3 linked regions of the Arabidopsis thaliana genome follow. The protein of the gene in region 3 interacts with the protein of the main gene of each other region in a pairwise test. Each region holds a gene or a part of one and is shown on either strand. Other genes may lie near its edges.

Region 1 (5,860 bases), 5.0 Mb from region 3:
TATCATATACGGTTGGGACAATTTACCAAGAACTTTACTCATGTACTACACCAATTTCGTTTCTTCTCCTGAAGGTTACTTCCATACAGTCATATGTAACGTGCCTGAGTTCTCCAAAACCGCGGTGAACCATGATCTTCACTACATCGCATGGGACAAGCCACCGAGGCAGCATCCTCGTATGTTGTCTCAAAGAGACATGGGAAAGATGATTTCGAGCGGATCTGCATTTGGTCGGAAGTTCAGAAGAAATGATACTGTTTTGGATAAGATTGATAAGGAACTGCTTATACGGATAAACGAAGACGGTTTTACTCCAGGCGGTTGGTGCGGTGGGAAACCAGAGTGCTCGGTTGTCGAAGATGTGGCTAGGATCAGGCCTAGCTCAGGGGCTGTGAGGCTCAAGGAGCTTGTAGATAGGTTAGTTACAGAGGCTAAATTAGGTAAGAATCAATGTGTATAAAGAATCAAGCAGCTTGGAGAGAATCTTGCAGTTCTATACACACCACAGCTTGATTGTATAATTCTTTTGAAGTAAATAATTATTACTTGTATGTTAAGTTGCCCACCTGTGTCATTAGGGTTTACAATAAGTACTATACAACAAATAGAAAGATATCATATATTTTTTCTATATACACAATTCTTTAGTAGCAACAATATTGTTTTCACTTTTCCTACTTTCTCTCCCAAAAATTGTTTCCTATACCAATCCAAACCCTGGAATATTACCATTTTGCTTCTGAGCCACTTTATATTGGTTCATACCATCTCCAAAATCTTGATATTGCCGGTGGAGTTTGCAGCAACTAAGGTCGACGACTGTCCCCGCCAGCAGACTGAGGATATGAACTGCGAGGCATCGTCTACTTCGAGTTCCGACACAGGGTCTATAGTTTTGAACTTGTACGACAAAACCGGCATTGGAAATGCCTTGTGGTACACAAAAACCTGTCCAGTGAAGCACACGAAATTCACGGTTTTTATTGACAAATGGGATCAACAGTTCTTCTTTTGTATATTTATGAAGTGAGAGTAGACATACCTCGTTAGTCTCAGAGCCTGTTGCTATATACCCGTCAGAGACTGATAATCCAACAAAGTTCTACACACAATGCAAGAACAGAAATGTATTTGTAATCTCATAAAGCAAACTTGAAATGAAGCAATAGAAACGAATCTCGAAAAAAATATACCTTAACATTAGTGTGTCCCATGAATGAGTGAAGAGGCGTTTCATTAATACCGGAAATAGACATTGATAAGTCCCATAGCTTCAGCGTGTTATCCGTCGAAGAAGAAACAAGTGTTGATGAATCTACAAATCTAACATAACTCACGGTCTTGTGGTGACCAATCATTGTGCAAAGAGGAAGCTTGGGGTTCCTTAGATCATAGTAGTAAACTTTGTGATCTGCTGAGCCAAATGCTAAAGACCGACCCGTCTCTGATGGAAACTGAACACAACATATGTTTGCCTTTGTCTTGATGGTTCCAATACTAACCCCCTGAAACAGAGGAAAACGAACTCAACCGTTAAAAACACATCCCTCAAAAGAACTATTCTCGCATTTCCGAGCATAAATACGTTTTGGTTTAGTTTCGAAGTTTGCCTGATTGATACTCCAGAGCTTAACCGAACCATCATCACTACCACTAGCTAACAATGTTGGATCTGCTGATGAATAATCGATGGACCATACACGCTTCTCATGCTCCTTCATCTCTGTAACCAACTGGTTTCTTGCAACATCCCAAACCTATGAAAATATTAGCCTTAGTTATAAGATTTTTTTTCATACTTTTCATTGATTAATAAGGTTGAGAGTTTTCTTCTGAACTTACTTGAACCACGCCTTCAAAGTTACTTGATGCGACTTGGCTCTTAATGTAACTGTTCCAACATATACCACTAAGCTTAGACCGGCTAGCAAGTTCCACAACAGGGTAATGAATGTCCCGGCCATCTTTTATTATCGACTCGCATTCGAATATCTTGATCTTTTTGTTGACGCCTGCCGTGGCGAAAAACTCTCCATCACGATCAAACCCAATTGCGCAAACAAGGTTAGACGAGTTCAACAAGTCTCCTTGCTTCAAATCTGCTTTCACTCTTAGCTTACTAAAAGACAAATACTTGCACAAACCCTCGAGGAATGGATCGATCCACCCGCCTTGTCTAGAATCATTGATAGGATCTTTTGATGGTTGGCTCATTGAACTCTTTTCTGAACTTCTACCGTTACAACTCAATGCCGAATAATATCTAGCCAACGGTTTTTCAGCAGCAGTAGCAGCCTTGATTTGTCTGTATCGTGTTGCAAAGTAGACTGATTCCAGTTTCTTCAAATTTCTCATTAATCTAGAGCTTTCAAGAAGTGTACTTTCTAGAGTATCATCAAGCTTAGATTCCTCATCAATGCTATTATCATCATTTTCTTCCTCTGCTGCAGTGGTCTCAGCTCCTTGTCTAATCCGTTTTCTTGAGGCTAAGAACGAACGGACATCTCTCCCTTTTTGCTGTAAAACCAACTGTCGCTTTACGACTTGATCGATATCAGAAGAGAGAAGCGATATTGTATCCTGCAATTTGTCTGCAGCTTCTTGTTTCCTCTGTTGAATCAGAAACAAGAACTCGAGTAATAACTCTTGTTCCTCGATTCTATCCCGTAGCTCCATTGCAGCTTCACGTTCTTCCAAATTCTCTCTAGGTTCGTTGATAAACTCACTTTGTAGCAACTCACTGCAAAAGTAAAGACAAAGGAGACAATACTCTTAATTAAAGGACAAAACTTTTCCAATTGAAACTAAAAACATCAAAGAGAGAATCAATCATCACCTCATCGATGGTCGACAGCTAGGCTCAGGATGCAGTAACCACAAGCAAAAGGAAGCTTCTTTAGGCCAATTGAGTAATATCTGAGGGGGAAGAACACGATGTCTTAAACTAGACATAGTTCTTGACTTCTCTTCTCTTGAGGAGACAGGGCAGAATAGCTGCACAAAGACTAACATTCATCAAATCAGTTTTCTCAAGAAAACAAAGCAGTTAAGAACAAAAATCAAATCTTCTTACGCACAAACCTCAAAGAGAAGAACACCAAGACGGTAAATATCAGAAGCACAATTACACAGAGAACCATTATCTTCTTCATGACTTGTATACCAACTCATCTCCATTGCTAATATCTGTTTCATAGGGAAAGGTTGCTTCTTTACTTCCTCTTGTTGTTTGCTTCGTCTCTCTGATAGAATCTCCTCTTGTCTCGAGCTACCAATCTCTCGAGACTTTGTTGTTGCATCCTCATCAGACCCGGAATCCGAACAAGAAGCGGATTCGATAAACGAAACATTGTTAAACGAAGACATAACGAAACAAGAAGGCCTAACATTATGAACAACAATGCCTTGAGAGTGAGCTGCATTAACAATCTCAACAATCTGTCTGAAAACATGAAAACACTCAAAGGCATCAACGGATCGGTCTGGATTGTCTAACCACTGACGCAAGCTAACATCCTCACATTCCAAAGCTCTGACAATAGAGTCATCATCAAGTCCTCCCAAGTTAGCTTCTTTATGTGAACCAAGTAAGCTTCTGACATAATCAATGTGAGACAAAGACTTAGAACCATCTGTACAAAACTCTGAAACACCAGAGGTGTTGTTTAATCCTCTGGAACTAGATTCTGAAGAACCCTTCATTGATTACCAAACAAACTCCTCTGGATTCTGCAATACTTCATTTCATGATCCCAGCCCAAAAGCCCTAAGTTAGAATCGAAATAAAGTAAAGAAATTTAGAACGAAAGTTAAGATTTTTAAAAGACCCTTTGACAGAAAACACCAAAACCAGAAAATATATTCGAATAAAAATGCAACCTTTGATTACATAAAGAGACAAACACGAGGAAGCTTCTTGACCACTAAACTCTCTCTATATATAAAAGAAAAGCGAAGAAGAAGATAAGAAGAAGAAGAAGTACTTGAGAGACTAAGAGGCACCGAAGAAACGATCCTTTTTTGAGAACCACACATCGCAAAAACTGAGTTCGTAGAAAAGCAATAATCAGATTCATAAAAATTAAATTCTCGGCTAAGAGAAATCTATTTTGGGCCTACGATTTTTACTTCACAGTGAGGGTTTTATTTTTCGCTTTTTGATAATCTTCACTTCTCTTCTCTTTCCACGCAAGCAACGTGGTTAAACGACGACCTAGGAATCAAAAGAACGTAAAGCTAAAACCTTTTTCGTATTTTGGTTTTGGGCCATATATGTAAATATAAGTAAACCATGAGGTCAAAGTGAATTTTGTTCTTTTTTGAAGTGACCAATTTTCTTCAAGAGGAATGTTTAAATTATGTTGTGGTCCAAATAATATAACACATTTTTGTAAGGCTATAATAGGAATTTAAAATGACCAAAATAATTTTTGAATAACATATTTGAAGCCTTATTACAAGAGAAAGTACCTAAAGAAATGATTGTACTTTGAAAATCTTGAATGAGAAAAACAAAATTGTTTGTATTATTGGTTTTGGTGAAAGGAAAGAGAATGTATTGGTGGGAGCATTTAATAACCAGAGGGGAGTTTCCATTTCCATGGAATGGATTGAGACAAGTCGACAACGTAAGTGGTAAATTACAAAATCACATGCGTCCGGACACGCCACGTGTTTTTTCTTTTTCTATGATTAGATTACATACACAAATTTATCAATGAAAAAAAAAAAAAAACTCTGTTTTTTTATTGAAACCAAACCATCTGAAATGTAATGCAAGATTTTTGTAGAAAATGATACGACCTAGAAACTGTGATAGCTTTAACCTTATATATCGTGGATTTGTCAATATTTTAGTTTTAAATTTTAGTAATATCTTTTAAAAACTTATGTTAAGAAACTTGTGACATGAACAAACTGATTCAATTTGATGAGGACGATGACCACAATACCACGTGGTTGTGCTTTGGCTTTTAACGAGTCTTTATTTATACAAAATCAATGATGCATGTCCAAGAAGATCATTGACGGTGATGGTCCGGGACAGTGTGCATGTTTTCTTCTCAGGATTTTTTTTAATGGTTTAATCGATCAAAGTAATTTTAAATTTGATTTTGACATTTTATACGTACTCTCTTTTTAACCACTTTTGAATAAAAATCAAGAGAAAATACATAATTGTTAAACCGGTAACAAACATAAATCAAACCAAACAAGACCAAAATCAGAACTAATTGTTTTTGGCGGTGTTCTCAAAACTCCAGCTCCAAATGTCGTGACGCTCGACGCCACGACCCATCGAACCGGAAAAGCCGGTATACATAGTCTCAAGAACCACCTCCGAGAGATCAACTTGTGTTTCGATCAATGGCCTCTTCGGTTTCTTTAAATGCGCAGGTGCAAGCCAAACAATGACTTTACTGTTCTTATACTCAATCCAAGCTTTGTAGTTGTCTCCGCTACTAAGCTTCACTTCCTTAAACAACCATTGATTCTTCCCTCTAGTTCTTGTCTGAATCCAATACCCAGCTTTCTCAGAAACCTTTGAGTTAACAGAGTTAATATTAACACCAACATGATTATCATTAATATCACCAAAACGTTTGTCTTGGAAAACATCGAATTCGACCGCAAAGAGATGGTTATTAGGATTGCCATTGGTTGTGAGGTTAACTAGACCGAGGAAGCCGCGGGTTGAGTCTTGGTCGTACTCGTAGGCTACGGTTGGGACCACGATGAAGGCGATACCATGACCAGGGTTAGGGTTTGACCGTCGAGGAGTGATGGAGAAAGTGAAAGATGTTTTGAAAGAGTAAACAGAAGAAGATGTGTTGTTGGAAGATTTGAATGGGATTGG
Region 2 (7,891 bases), on a different chromosome or scaffold from region 3:
AGATTATGCTGATTATCAGTTTGGGTTTTATTTCCAAGTTCACATGTTGAGAGAATACAAAAACAAAACAAAGCTAAAGGGATTATATATGGATTAGGTTGTGGATGTCAACTAGTTATTAAAATAATGTTAGATTAAGGGATAGATTAGGTAAAGGTAAGTAGCTGTTAATCATGTTAAATATTATTATTTTAGGTTGTGGTTCGTCTAAAAGGAATCTCCCTATGATTTACGAATCCGAAATAGAGAGAGGAGGATTTTCATGTTATTGTGGTGGAGGAGCTAGGGTCGTGTCAATGCTGCTTTTGGTTCATTGTTTAAGAACAATGATCATAACACGATAAGATTGATGAATGAAACGTTTCTATCTGATATACCACACAAATTTAACTAAGCATCACAAATCCGAATTAGAGCAGAGAAAATAATACAACATGTTGCTGGTTAGGTTGAAACATTGAATTTGCATCTCTTCTATAGTTGATACAAGATTGGATACATCTTCGTTACAAAGCGAATACTTGCTTACATTTAATTACGCCAAAAAATCTCTTCATTTTCATCTTTTACAGTTAATTAATAATGAAAAGATCTGTTCATCTTTATATATAGTGATCAATAACAAAAAAATTTGAATCCAATAAATATAATTGAACTCAGGTTCTGGGGGCAATCACAAGTCAGTCATGCGCCTTCACATTTTCCTGTAATGCCTGAATTCTTTAGCCATGGGCTGAAGCACGTGAGTCCTTTTCTCCATCAACTTTGTATCCTTCATAAACCTCTTGTTTGCACGTGCTCTAGATTCACGAGCCTCGTGTGCAACATGGTCTCTTCTCTCTTTCTCCAAACCATTCTCATCTTCCTTCTTCGTAGAAAGCTGAGAGAGAAGCACCACCATGAGATTTACCTCCATCAGAGAAGTTTTCTCGTCTTCTCTTTTCTCCTCCGCATCATGTTTACGATTGGCTTCGCGAGACGAATCCATAAACCCAAAAAGAAGACCCAAAAATGATACAATTATTGGGAGCTATTAGTCCCTAAATTAGCCCGTCTTTTGGACAAAATTTTTATCTTCTTCTTTTTTTTTTCTTGTGGTCATTCATAGTAACTAATTAAATCAATTTGCAATTTTTTGAGTGGTATTGGTATATTTTCCATCTTAAAGACTCGATGGTAGAGAAATAAGATTCCTAAATTCATTAGTCACAAGATCGACCAATTTTTATTTTTATTTTTCTTATCTCAAATGTTTCGTTTTGAGAACAACCAAACATTTAACCATTGATAAAATTGGCCAATGGCTAAAATGAATGCCTTTTCATTGTTTTTTTGACATCCTAAAATAAATGCTTAACTAATGGGTTTATGGAAAACAAAAGTTGTGTCCAAGTTATAAGCGAAGCAGCCCATAAAAGTATTAAAATGGGCTGAGCCCAATAACTGATAGGTGGAGTATATTAGTTTAAATTGTGTTTGTTGTACAAAGTTTCCCAAATGGGTTTCCAAAATGGGCTGAGCCCAAAAAGTGTTGTTATAGGTGAGGGTATATTAGTTTATTCGCAAAAAAAGCGTGGCTTAATAATCTCCACATCTTTCACGTGACCCCCCTCGAATGGCGAATAGATTAAGCGACGTCGACGTGTTTTAATCTCCTCCTCTTAACAAATATCCCTAAAGATTACTTCCCCCATGCAACACTCTTAATACCCACGCTTTTCCTCTTTATTTACCATCCTACCCCTATACTCACACATATCGTTTAACCAGAGAGGAAAAACCTGAGTGGCATAATCCGTAAATAAGACCAAAAAACAGGACCATCTCTAAAGCTGATGTCACTAATCAAAAGATTATGAACGTAATCTCGTGTCATAATCCTTTTGACCTCTTACTTAAACAAAACAAGTATAATAATTGGGCAGCCAAAATAAAAAATCTTTCTCTCTTTTTGCTATAAAGTAATGAAAAAATTAAATAAAATAATGTTCAAAAAATTGTCCGCCAGAATAAAGAAAATTTGATATGTGGCTTCAAAGCCTAAATTAATCATTAAAATAAAAAATCAGAAAATAAGGAATGAAGAACGAATTGTGCAAAAGTCTATAGAGAAAGAGAGATTCATTTGTGTTTCTTCGACTATACACAGAATACAAAAGAGATATTATATGTAATTATCAATAGTATATGACAAATTTATAGCCTCACCTTTCTTCTTCTTCTTCTTCTTCTTCTGTGTGTTTTTGAATTTGCTTTCTTCAAGAGGTTTCTTCTCCACACCGCTTCGGTGTATGATCTGATTGTGATCTCTCTCGATATCTGGGATCTTCGGGGTAAGCGATTTGATTTTTGTGTATTTCTCGTTTCTCGTAATCTTCATGATTGGTTTTAATAGTTTGCTGCGATTTTACATAATCTTCTTCTGTTTTGATTAGCTACTTTAGATTACAGCTAATGATACGTTTCGGGATTAGTGATTATTGTATGTTTAACTAGTTTTAGAATCTCTACATGCATGAATTTACTAGGTAGGGCTTCTTTCTTCTTCTTCTTCTTCTTCTTCTTCATTTTGTTGGTTTGATTCTGATTTGTTTTTGTATTGTATATGATTTAAGGTATGGAGGCTGTAGATTATTATTATTATTACGTGTGGTGCTGATGCAATGAGTGTTGATGCCTGTTATGGAAAGAGTAGCTGAAGAAACTGTGGCGACTAACAACATACAATTGAAAGCACGAGTGGATGATGTTCCTTGTAATAAGCTTGATGCTCGTCATAACGATATGGTGATTCAATCAGAAACTGCAAACAGTGATTGTCCTGGAAGCTCAGCTCACAGGAATGTTGATTTGACTAAGCCGCCGCCTCCTGAGGAAGCCGCAGGAGCTAAGCTTTCTGTTGAAGAGTTGACATTGGGGAACTACAGGATTGTTCAAGGGAGTAATAATACTAATGTGGATAGTCCTAGGGCTGGCAAGTTTGAGCATCTTTATCGTTTGGCTAGAGGGTCTGCTTTTAGGGCAGGAGATGGGGATCTTGATTCTCAACCTCGTGATATGGATCAAATGTTGTCCAGAATCAGACAACAGCTTGCTGGAGCTCCTTCTGAGAGGCAAAACTTGAAACCTTTTATGTCTAGGAGGAGCGATCAGAATCTTGAAGCTTTTTCTGAACGTCTAAGAGCAGCTGGTGAGAATAGTATTATGAATGCTCCTGCATTGATCAGTGAAGGTGTCCAAATGAAAACGCCGGTGAGTTCTTCGAATTTTTCTCAGTTGTTACTTAAAAGAGCTATGAAAGGGAAAGGGGTAGTAGGAAAGAACCAGGAAACTCCTCCTGAATTTGTCTCTGATCAAGATTTAGGAAGCAAGGAAAAAAAGTTGGATATTAGCAAGTCGCCTACTCCTCACGATGTGTTACCTCTAAAATCAAGTCCCAAAGGAAATGGTATGGTATCACATGGTGATGGGAATCATAGTAAATCTTCTATTGGAATCAGTTTGAGGGAGTTTCTTAGATCAAGTTATGCTAAAAGAGAAAAAAGACATGGCCTTTGTCTATTTAGGCAGCTGGTGGAACTGGTTGACTCAGCCCATTCAAAAAGATTATTCTTGCTAGACTTGAGACCATCCCTTTTCACTTTAGTTCCATCAAAGAAACTTAGATATATTGGTAATTTTGGAAAGAACGATCTAGAATCAGATGTTGACGAAGATTTGAATAGGAGGAGGCCTGTTGTTGAGGAATCATCTAGTGGAGGTAGGGATTCGAAGAAAAGAAAAATGGACTTGCATTTGAATTCTCCAGGGAATCAACTTCAGGCCACTTCAACCGGGCGACCTTTCAAAAGGAAAAGCCCTGTGATTGATTTAAACATGGTTGATGCACGTAATCCAGACAGTTGCGAGCTTCAACAGCAAGACTACATAAAAAATTTAAGCGTGTCTTCAGTGTCGAGAAAACAGTCTATGTCCACATGGCTAGAAGAGCAATGGTATACTTGTCCAGAGGAGATAAATGGAGAAGATATTGGAGAAAAATCAAATATTTATGCCCTTGGTGTTCTTCTGTTTGAGGTATGGACGAATACCCAGTTTTATTGTTGTGGATAGATTTTTAGTTTGCTTTAATACCAAGAAGGATGTAACATTTCCTTGCATTTGAACACTATGTACTGTCATATCCTGCTTATGTGGGCTTTGGGTAGTTTATATTCTTTCATTTTCATGAAATTTCTTACTCTAGTCTGAACTTTGAATCCCAGAGCTAGTATTTTCCAGTCTGCAGTATATAACTTGTCAGTATTTTTGTTTACTTGTTTGATACTTTCATGTGAAGACGCCTACTGACATCTAGCTTGACCAATTGTTGTTTCAGTTGCTATGCCATTGCGAGTCAGGCGAGATGCATGCTGCAATGATGGCAGATTTACGCCATCGGATTCTCCCACCAACATTTCTCTCGAAATACCCGAAGGAAGCTGGATTTTGTCTTTGGCTTCTACATCCTGAACCCTCCTCCCGACCATCAGCTAGGTATTTAGCTGAGTGCTACTCTTTTATGATTCATGTGGGCGAGTATTTACTAGGAGTCTAGGAGTGGTACAAAGGAGAATCTGTAGACCTTCCATTAGCTTAAATAGTCGTATTTAAGATTTCTTTGCCGGATATCTTCAATTTTATTTAATGTTTTCCCGCTTAATTGTGAAGAAAAAAAATGGCATGCTACTGTGTGAATTATCTTCTTGTTTCTTTTTCTGTTCTCATTCTTTTCTCTTTATGTGACAGAGATATACTAAAGTCAGAGTTGATATGCGAGGATGATTCAGTTAAATCGACTGCTGCTGCTGAGGAGATATCTGAGCTGTTACTTCATTTTTTGTCTTCATTAGAAGTGCAGAAGAAGAAAAAAGCATCTAAACTTTTGCAAGATATCCAGACCTTAGAGGATGATATTAAGGAGGCCGAGCGAAGATATTCTTCAAATGTATCTCTGGTGAGATCTCATGGAGCTATTGAAAAAAGGGTGCAATCATCTCCCCTAGACGAGCACTGTACAACTTCCAGTGCCTTGTTTGTACCAACTGCTAATACAGACAGGCTGATGAGTAATATCCGTCAACTTGAAGATGCATATTTTTTCATGCGATCACAAATCAACTTATCGAGTTCTGCTGCTACTGCCCGTTCTGACAAAACACTAAAGGACAGGGACAGATGCTCTGAAAACCAAAATGAAAATCAGGATATGAGTACCAAAGGAAAATCTTCAGATCAACTCGAAGTGTTTTTCGAGGGGTTGTGCAAATTTGCTCGGTATAGCAAGTTCGAAACCTGTGGGACAATAAGAAGTGGGGACCTTTTAAACTCTGCAAGTGTGGTCTGCTCGTTGAGTTTTGACCCTGATGAAGAACACATAGCAGCAGCTGGGATATCAAAGAAGATCAAGATTTTTGACTTCAATGCATTTATGAATGAATCTGTCGGTGTTCATTATCCACTAGTAGAGATGGTCAACAAATCTAAATTAAGCTGTGTTTGCTGGAATAGCTACATCAAAAACTACTTGGCCTCGACTGACTACGATGGTGTAGTTCAGGTACCTATCGATGTCAAGTTTGGAATCTTTCTTATTTACCATCATATGTTGCACGGTAGGATCTATAGGACTAGCCTCATGTGCTTTCTCTTCCTCTATGAGATGTGTACATGTTAATCTTGTGATAAGATAGAGATATAGAAGCGTCTATTTCATGGTTTTCACTTGCCATTTTCTTACTGTATGGTGCTAATGAATGTAGATATGGGATGCCGGCACTGGACAAGGATTTTCGCAGTACACAGAACACCAGAAGAGAGCCTGGTCAGTTGATTTTTCTCCATCTGACCCGACAAAATTTGTTAGTGGAAGTGATGACTGCTCGGTGAAGCTTTGGAGCATCAATGAGGCACTTCTCTTTCCTTTACCTCCTGATATTGCAAGAATTTTCATGTCCCCGTTGTTTTTATTACTCCAGATTATAGCTCCATAAGGCATGATTCTCTGTTTATACTTGTGAATTTCCAAATCTAGTGAAACTTATATTCTTCTCTGTTTGGTATGCAGAAACGTTCATTAGGCACAATCTGGAGTCCAGCAAATGTGTGTTGCGTGCAATTCTCTTCTTATTCCAATCACTTATTGGCATTTGGGTCAGCTGATTACAAGGTCTATTGCTATGACCTTCGGTATGTCAAAACACCTTGGTGCACATTGGCTGGTCATGAGAAAGCGGTGAGTTATGTTAAATTTATGGATTCAGAAACCATTGTTTCTGCTTCCACTGATAACTCTCTCAAGCTTTGGAATCTTAACAAGACAAATTCCTCTGGTTTATCTCCTGGTGCTTGTTCATTGACATATAAAGGACATACAAATCAGAAGGTTAGTCCCAAAAACTTTTCTATCTACCTTTAACATCTCATCCAACATCATTAGTTAGTTCTGATGTCTAATCCTTTACCTGTGCAGAATTTCGTTGGATTGTCGGTTTTGGACGGATACATAGCTTGTGGTTCAGAGACCAATGAGGTATATATCACATCATAAAACAAAATCTCAACCTTTAGAATACTTAATTTCAGATTATCAAAGGTGGTATATGTCAATCGCGTTTAGTTTGTTTATGAAGCTGCCTAAAATTAGTTGTTATAACTTACTAAAAAAACTTTACTTTGATTTTGCGTCTTAGGTATATAGTTACTATAAATCTTTACCGATGCCAATGACTTCATACAAGTTTGGATCCGTCGATCCCATTTCTGGAAACGAATACTTTGATGACAATGGACAGTTTGTGTCGAGCGTCTGTTGGAGGAAAAAATCGAATATGCTTGTAGCTGCAAACTCTACTGGAAACATGAAGCTACTAAAACTTGTTTGACAACTTGGCCTTTTCGCTACTACTGCGGGCATTGGACTTTTTGAGTCTGAAACTAGGACAAAGCAGGTCTGACTTTGAAGCAAACGTTTTTGTCCTGGAAACTATGATCCCATATGACCAGAAGAGAAAAAAAGTTCGAAATCTTGGAGAAGTTGAAGAAGCAAAACTGTCTGTGATAATATATTATTTGATTCTTCTTCCTGTAATTCTATATATATGAGATATAATTTGAGATAAACTTCTCAGATTCTTCAGAAATGATTCATATTTGGTCGGCATAACGTGTAATGATGAGAGGTATATAACTTGTACAAGTGTGTTATATCGTTAGCTCGGTTATGTAATTGTTGTTGGAGATTCTCTATAAGAGAGAAAATATATATATCATCCATTCATTTCATCGCATGGCTACTACCTCTCGTCTGCGTATTTCACAATTTATGGTTTTAGATTCAGTGTTGTTTTAGAAGAAATTCATAACAATTGCACATACGATGTTATTAGTGTGACCACCAACTTCAAGTCTCTAGGAAAACAAGTAGAATATGTCGTTGATGAAGGGCACATGGGTTAAATGTGGTTATTTTTTTCCTATTATCTATTACTATAAATCTCGAAATCATGAATTAGACATGTTCTTTGTATCTATGTCCAACATGTAATGGGTACATTGTATGTTTAAGAGTAAAACTAGGATAGGAAGATGTAATTGATTGCTTGGTGGCGTGGGTTTAGGCCTTTGAGCCAACATTTCTCTTTAGATTTGAACCCTCTGCTTTCGCGAGAGACTCTCTTTGTCTTGCGTTTTAAAAATCAAAACATTATCCTTCCTTCGAAGCAAAATCTTTAAGATTTTGGTGCTATGCCATCTCTTGCAAGTCATCTTTCACATCTGCCAGGTAAGTGTCTTTTGAGTATTCCAATTCTAACAAGTCCGGACAAACAAAAAACAAAAAATTGGTTCTTCA
Region 3 (3,663 bases):
ATATAGTAGTAACAACTAGTGGAGACCAAAAGAGGTCGACGATGTCGAGACAAAAAAGAATGTGAAAAAGTATAAAATAGAAATGAAAAAAGATTGGCAGATGAAAGGGAGTATCAAATTATTGTGGGAATTGAAGTCGCTTCTATCGGATAACTACACGACTAGGTATTGCTTATGCAAATAAGCTATCTATCACGGCACATGAGTAGCCCAAGATGTTTTACTTCAAGCAGGCTAAGCGATTTATACGCTACATTAAATGGACCACAAGCTTGGGGTTGTATTTCAAATCCAGAAATGAATTGGGCTGGAAGCATGGAAGATATTAGAAGCACAATGGCTATGTGTTTCATGCTTGGAAAATTTGTTCTCTTTGCAACCACGGAAGCAATCGATCATTGCATATTGACATGAAATGTGGATATCAAACATGCACGCTCTTCTTGTACATATATAATAGCTCACATACTCTCATTGTCAAATGTCTTTCAAGGATTTGTGTAAGCCATAGTATGTATACCCTCTTCATCAGCAATTTACTTATAAGTTTTTAAATAATTTGGTTGTGATACTTTTAGTGATTATCTTTGGTTCATGGAGGCTTCTTCGTCCACTGAGTTGAAGAAAGGTACATGGGATGGTGAAGAAGATAGTCTCTGAGGCAGTGCATTGATAAGTATGGAGAAGGCAAATGGCATCAAGTTCCTTTAAGAGCTGGTATATATACTATTGTTGTAAACTATTGAGTCACTTATATTGATTAGACACAAGTTTATATTCCTCACACACAAATCTAATTTATTTACATAATGTAATTATCCAATACAACTTGTTCCAATGCAAGCTTAGATGGTCACCGATTGCCGGTAGATTGCCTGGTCGGATCGCTAATAATGTCAAGAATTACCGGAACACCCATCTCAACAAGAAAGAAGAACCGTGTTGTAAGAGCAGAATGAGAAAGAGGGAAACTACATGTTCAGCTACGTCACCGATCCAAAGACTCAATGTTATAAAGCCTCGAACTCAATTCTATAACGGCCGGCTCAACGGGCAGCCAGAAGTTAGCTCTTTCAAAGTAAGCATTAACAAATATGGTGGTATCAGATTCACATGTAACAATGATAAGACGAAATATGAGTTTGTGAACATTATTTGCAAAATTTTCAGTAAAGAAAAATACTCCAAAAGTTTTTGTAAGAAGGTGCACCCTATTTTTTTTATTTTGTTCTATTTCTCGTGCATGAAATAACTCTTCCTTGTAATCATGAACCCTCTGAGACCAATCATTACTAGTCCTTTCTCCTAATTTTGATAAGAAACGTGTAATTTGTTTTTCTTAAGTACTGGAAAAGGTGCTATGAACTTTTTCTCTAGTCAAATCAAACAATAACTTAGTAAATTAAGCAGAACCGCAAATACATGAAATGTGGATATCAAACATGCACGTCATTTTCCTATGCCCTTCACGTGTATATATATACCTATTCGCTCACATGCTCACATTATCAATAAGTCCTCCCAGGATTTGGGAAGCCACAATAACCCCCTATTCCTCGGCCTTTTTTAAAAAAGTTTTAGAATAATCCGATAAAATACTTTTATATTAATTTTTCTTTGGTCCATGGAGGGTTCGTCCAAAGGGTTGAGGAAAGGTGCATGGACTGCTGAAGAAGATAGTCTCTTGAGGCTATGTATTGATAAGTATGGAGAAGGCAAATGGCATCAAGTTCCTTTGAGAGCTGGTATGTTACACACACAGATATATTCATGACTAAGAATATTCTCTTCTCTATATATAATATTCGGAAATCTTTATTTTACTTTTCTTTTTGTTTTAAGGAGCAAATTATTGATTCATATGCTAGTGTATGGTAAAACAAAAAAAAACAAAAAAAACAACTGGTTATTCAGAATAATTCTTTATGCAGTTTATTTAAACGAAGAGTTTTATATAAATAAAAAAGTTATACTATTTTTTATTTACGTAGCATATATATATATATATATATATATATATATATATATATAGCTTATTCTTCACAAACAAGGAAGATGCTAAGCTCATGTAAAGTTGTTAAACTATTTCACTGGGCTGTCTTCTGGTGAGTGAAGTCAGTGAAAATTTATGAACAAACGGTTACTGTGTTGAAACAGTTTAATCTTTCTATTGGTGTGCTTAGATTCTTCAAGATGAAACATAGAAAATGACCCAAAAGCCGTCTTGGTTGGTATAATTAATGTCAACTATTGGTTATGTAGGGCTAAATCGATGCAGAAAGAGTTGTAGACTAAGATGGTTGAACTATTTGAAGCCAAGTATCAAGAGAGGAAGACTTAGCAATGATGAAGTTGATCTTCTTCTTCGCCTTCATAAGCTTCTAGGAAATAGGTATTGTTTACTTTAATGGTTATTTCAAGAGCCATAAGTTCAACACTAATAACTTATATGTATATTATTTAACAATGTTTAGGTGGTCCTTGATTGCTGGTCGATTGCCTGGTCGGACCGCTAATGATGTCAAAAATTACTGGAACACCCATCTGAGTAAAAAACATGAGTCTTCGTGTTGTAAGTCTAAAATGAAAAAGAAAAACATTATTTCCCCTCCTACAACACCGGTCCAAAAAATCGGTGTTTTTAAGCCTCGACCTCGATCCTTCTCTGTTAACAATGGTTGCAGCCATCTCAATGGTCTGCCAGAAGTTGATTTAATTCCTTCATGCCTTGGACTCAAGAAAAATAATGTTTGTGAAAATAGTATCACATGTAACAAAGATGATGAGAAAGATGATTTTGTGAATAATCTAATGAATGGAGATAATATGTGGTTGGAGAATTTACTGGGGGAAAACCAAGAAGCTGATGCGATTGTTCCTGAAGCGACGACAGCTGAACATGGGGCCACTTTGGCGTTTGACGTTGAGCAACTTTGGAGTCTGTTTGATGGAGAGACTGTTGAACTTGATTAGTGTTTCTCACCGTTTGTTTAAGATTGTGGGTGGCTTTTCTTTCGTATTTTAGTAATGTATTTTTCTGTATGAAGTAAAGAATTTCAGCATTTTAAGAAAAATGGTTATGTTTCTACGTAATAAAAAAAAACGTTATTTATATTTTTCGCAAAGAAAATACAGTATTTTCCTAAATGCAGTATTTTCTAACTAAAGTTAAAGGTGATAATGTTTGTTAAAATATCACTCAACCTAACCATAGAAAATTCAAAAGCATAAGAAAGTTTTAACCATGAAAGATATGTCTTATGGCAAGTAGACATGGTGGAAGGTTGTATGGTAATGTGGTATTTCACAAGCATAAGAAAGTTATAATTAAGATCTGTTTGGTCTAACCGTTAAAATAATAGCTAGTTTAAGTACAGTAGTAAACATAATTATTTAATATTATCTTACAAAAATTATTTGATTGATACAATAATGGAAGCAAGTAGGGTTAGGAAAAATGGATACACTATTCGTTCTGCAACAAATAAATGACAATGTACTATTGTAGTACTTGTAATTGTTTCCCTCCCCCCCCCCCCCCACCACACACACACAGACACACACCACTCTCCTGAATTAATTAGAGTAGTTATATGAAATCATATATTAATTATTGATTATGTTTGCTCAAAACTGTTGACATTTCTACGTTTTTCATGCAAG

What was found.
Region 1: the proteins of MYB90 (region 3) and SPA4 interact in a two-hybrid assay, tested with the Arabidopsis thaliana proteins (one study listed by BioGRID).
Region 2: the proteins of MYB90 (region 3) and SPA1 interact in a two-hybrid assay, tested with the Arabidopsis thaliana proteins (one study listed by BioGRID).

Annotation. Positions count from the first base shown.
Region 1 is NC_003070.9:19,781,593-19,787,452, reverse strand, and holds SPA4 (SPA1-related 4), read right to left. Parts: upstream 4,269-5,860; 5' UTR 3,883-4,268; exon of another isoform or gene 3,770-3,882; 5' UTR 3,706-3,769; coding exon 3,085-3,705; intron 3,009-3,084; exon of another isoform or gene 2,998-3,008; coding exon 2,840-2,997; intron 2,744-2,839; coding exon 1,846-2,743; intron 1,761-1,845; coding exon 1,614-1,760; coding exon of another isoform or gene 1,589-1,613; intron 1,509-1,588; coding exon 1,197-1,508; intron 1,106-1,196; coding exon 1,046-1,105; intron 952-1,045; coding exon 763-951; 3' UTR 551-762; downstream 1-550. Other genes in the region: AT1G53100 (Core-2/I-branching beta-1,6-N-acetylglucosaminyltransferase family protein), read left to right, coding at 1-463; AT1G53080 (Legume lectin family protein), read right to left, coding at 5,234-5,860. UniProt on the Arabidopsis thaliana protein: Repressor of photomorphogenesis in the light. Probably part of the COP1/SPA E3 ubiquitin-protein ligase complex.
Region 2 is NC_003071.7:19,021,604-19,029,494, reverse strand, and holds SPA1 (SPA (suppressor of phyA-105) protein family), read left to right. Parts: upstream 1-1,966; 5' UTR 1,967-2,333; exon of another isoform or gene 2,334-2,528; intron 2,529-2,615; 5' UTR 2,616-2,673; coding exon 2,674-4,077; intron 4,078-4,378; coding exon 4,379-4,536; intron 4,537-4,788; coding exon 4,789-5,599; intron 5,600-5,801; coding exon 5,802-5,948; intron 5,949-6,106; coding exon 6,107-6,424; intron 6,425-6,511; coding exon 6,512-6,571; intron 6,572-6,731; coding exon 6,732-6,923; 3' UTR 6,924-7,341; downstream 7,342-7,891. Other genes in the region: AT2G46360 (uncharacterized protein), read right to left, coding at 695-988. UniProt on the Arabidopsis thaliana protein: Controls normal photoperiodic flowering and regulates circadian rhythms. Required for suppression of photomorphogenesis in dark-grown seedlings and for normal elongation growth of adult plants.
Region 3 is NC_003070.9:24,762,428-24,766,090, forward strand, and holds MYB90 (myb domain protein 90), read left to right. Parts: upstream 1-1,513; 5' UTR 1,514-1,624; coding exon 1,625-1,745; intron 1,746-2,262; coding exon 2,263-2,392; intron 2,393-2,474; coding exon 2,475-2,973; 3' UTR 2,974-3,114; downstream 3,115-3,663. UniProt on the Arabidopsis thaliana protein: Transcription activator, when associated with BHLH12/MYC1, EGL3, or GL3. Promotes the synthesis of phenylpropanoid-derived compounds such as anthocyanins.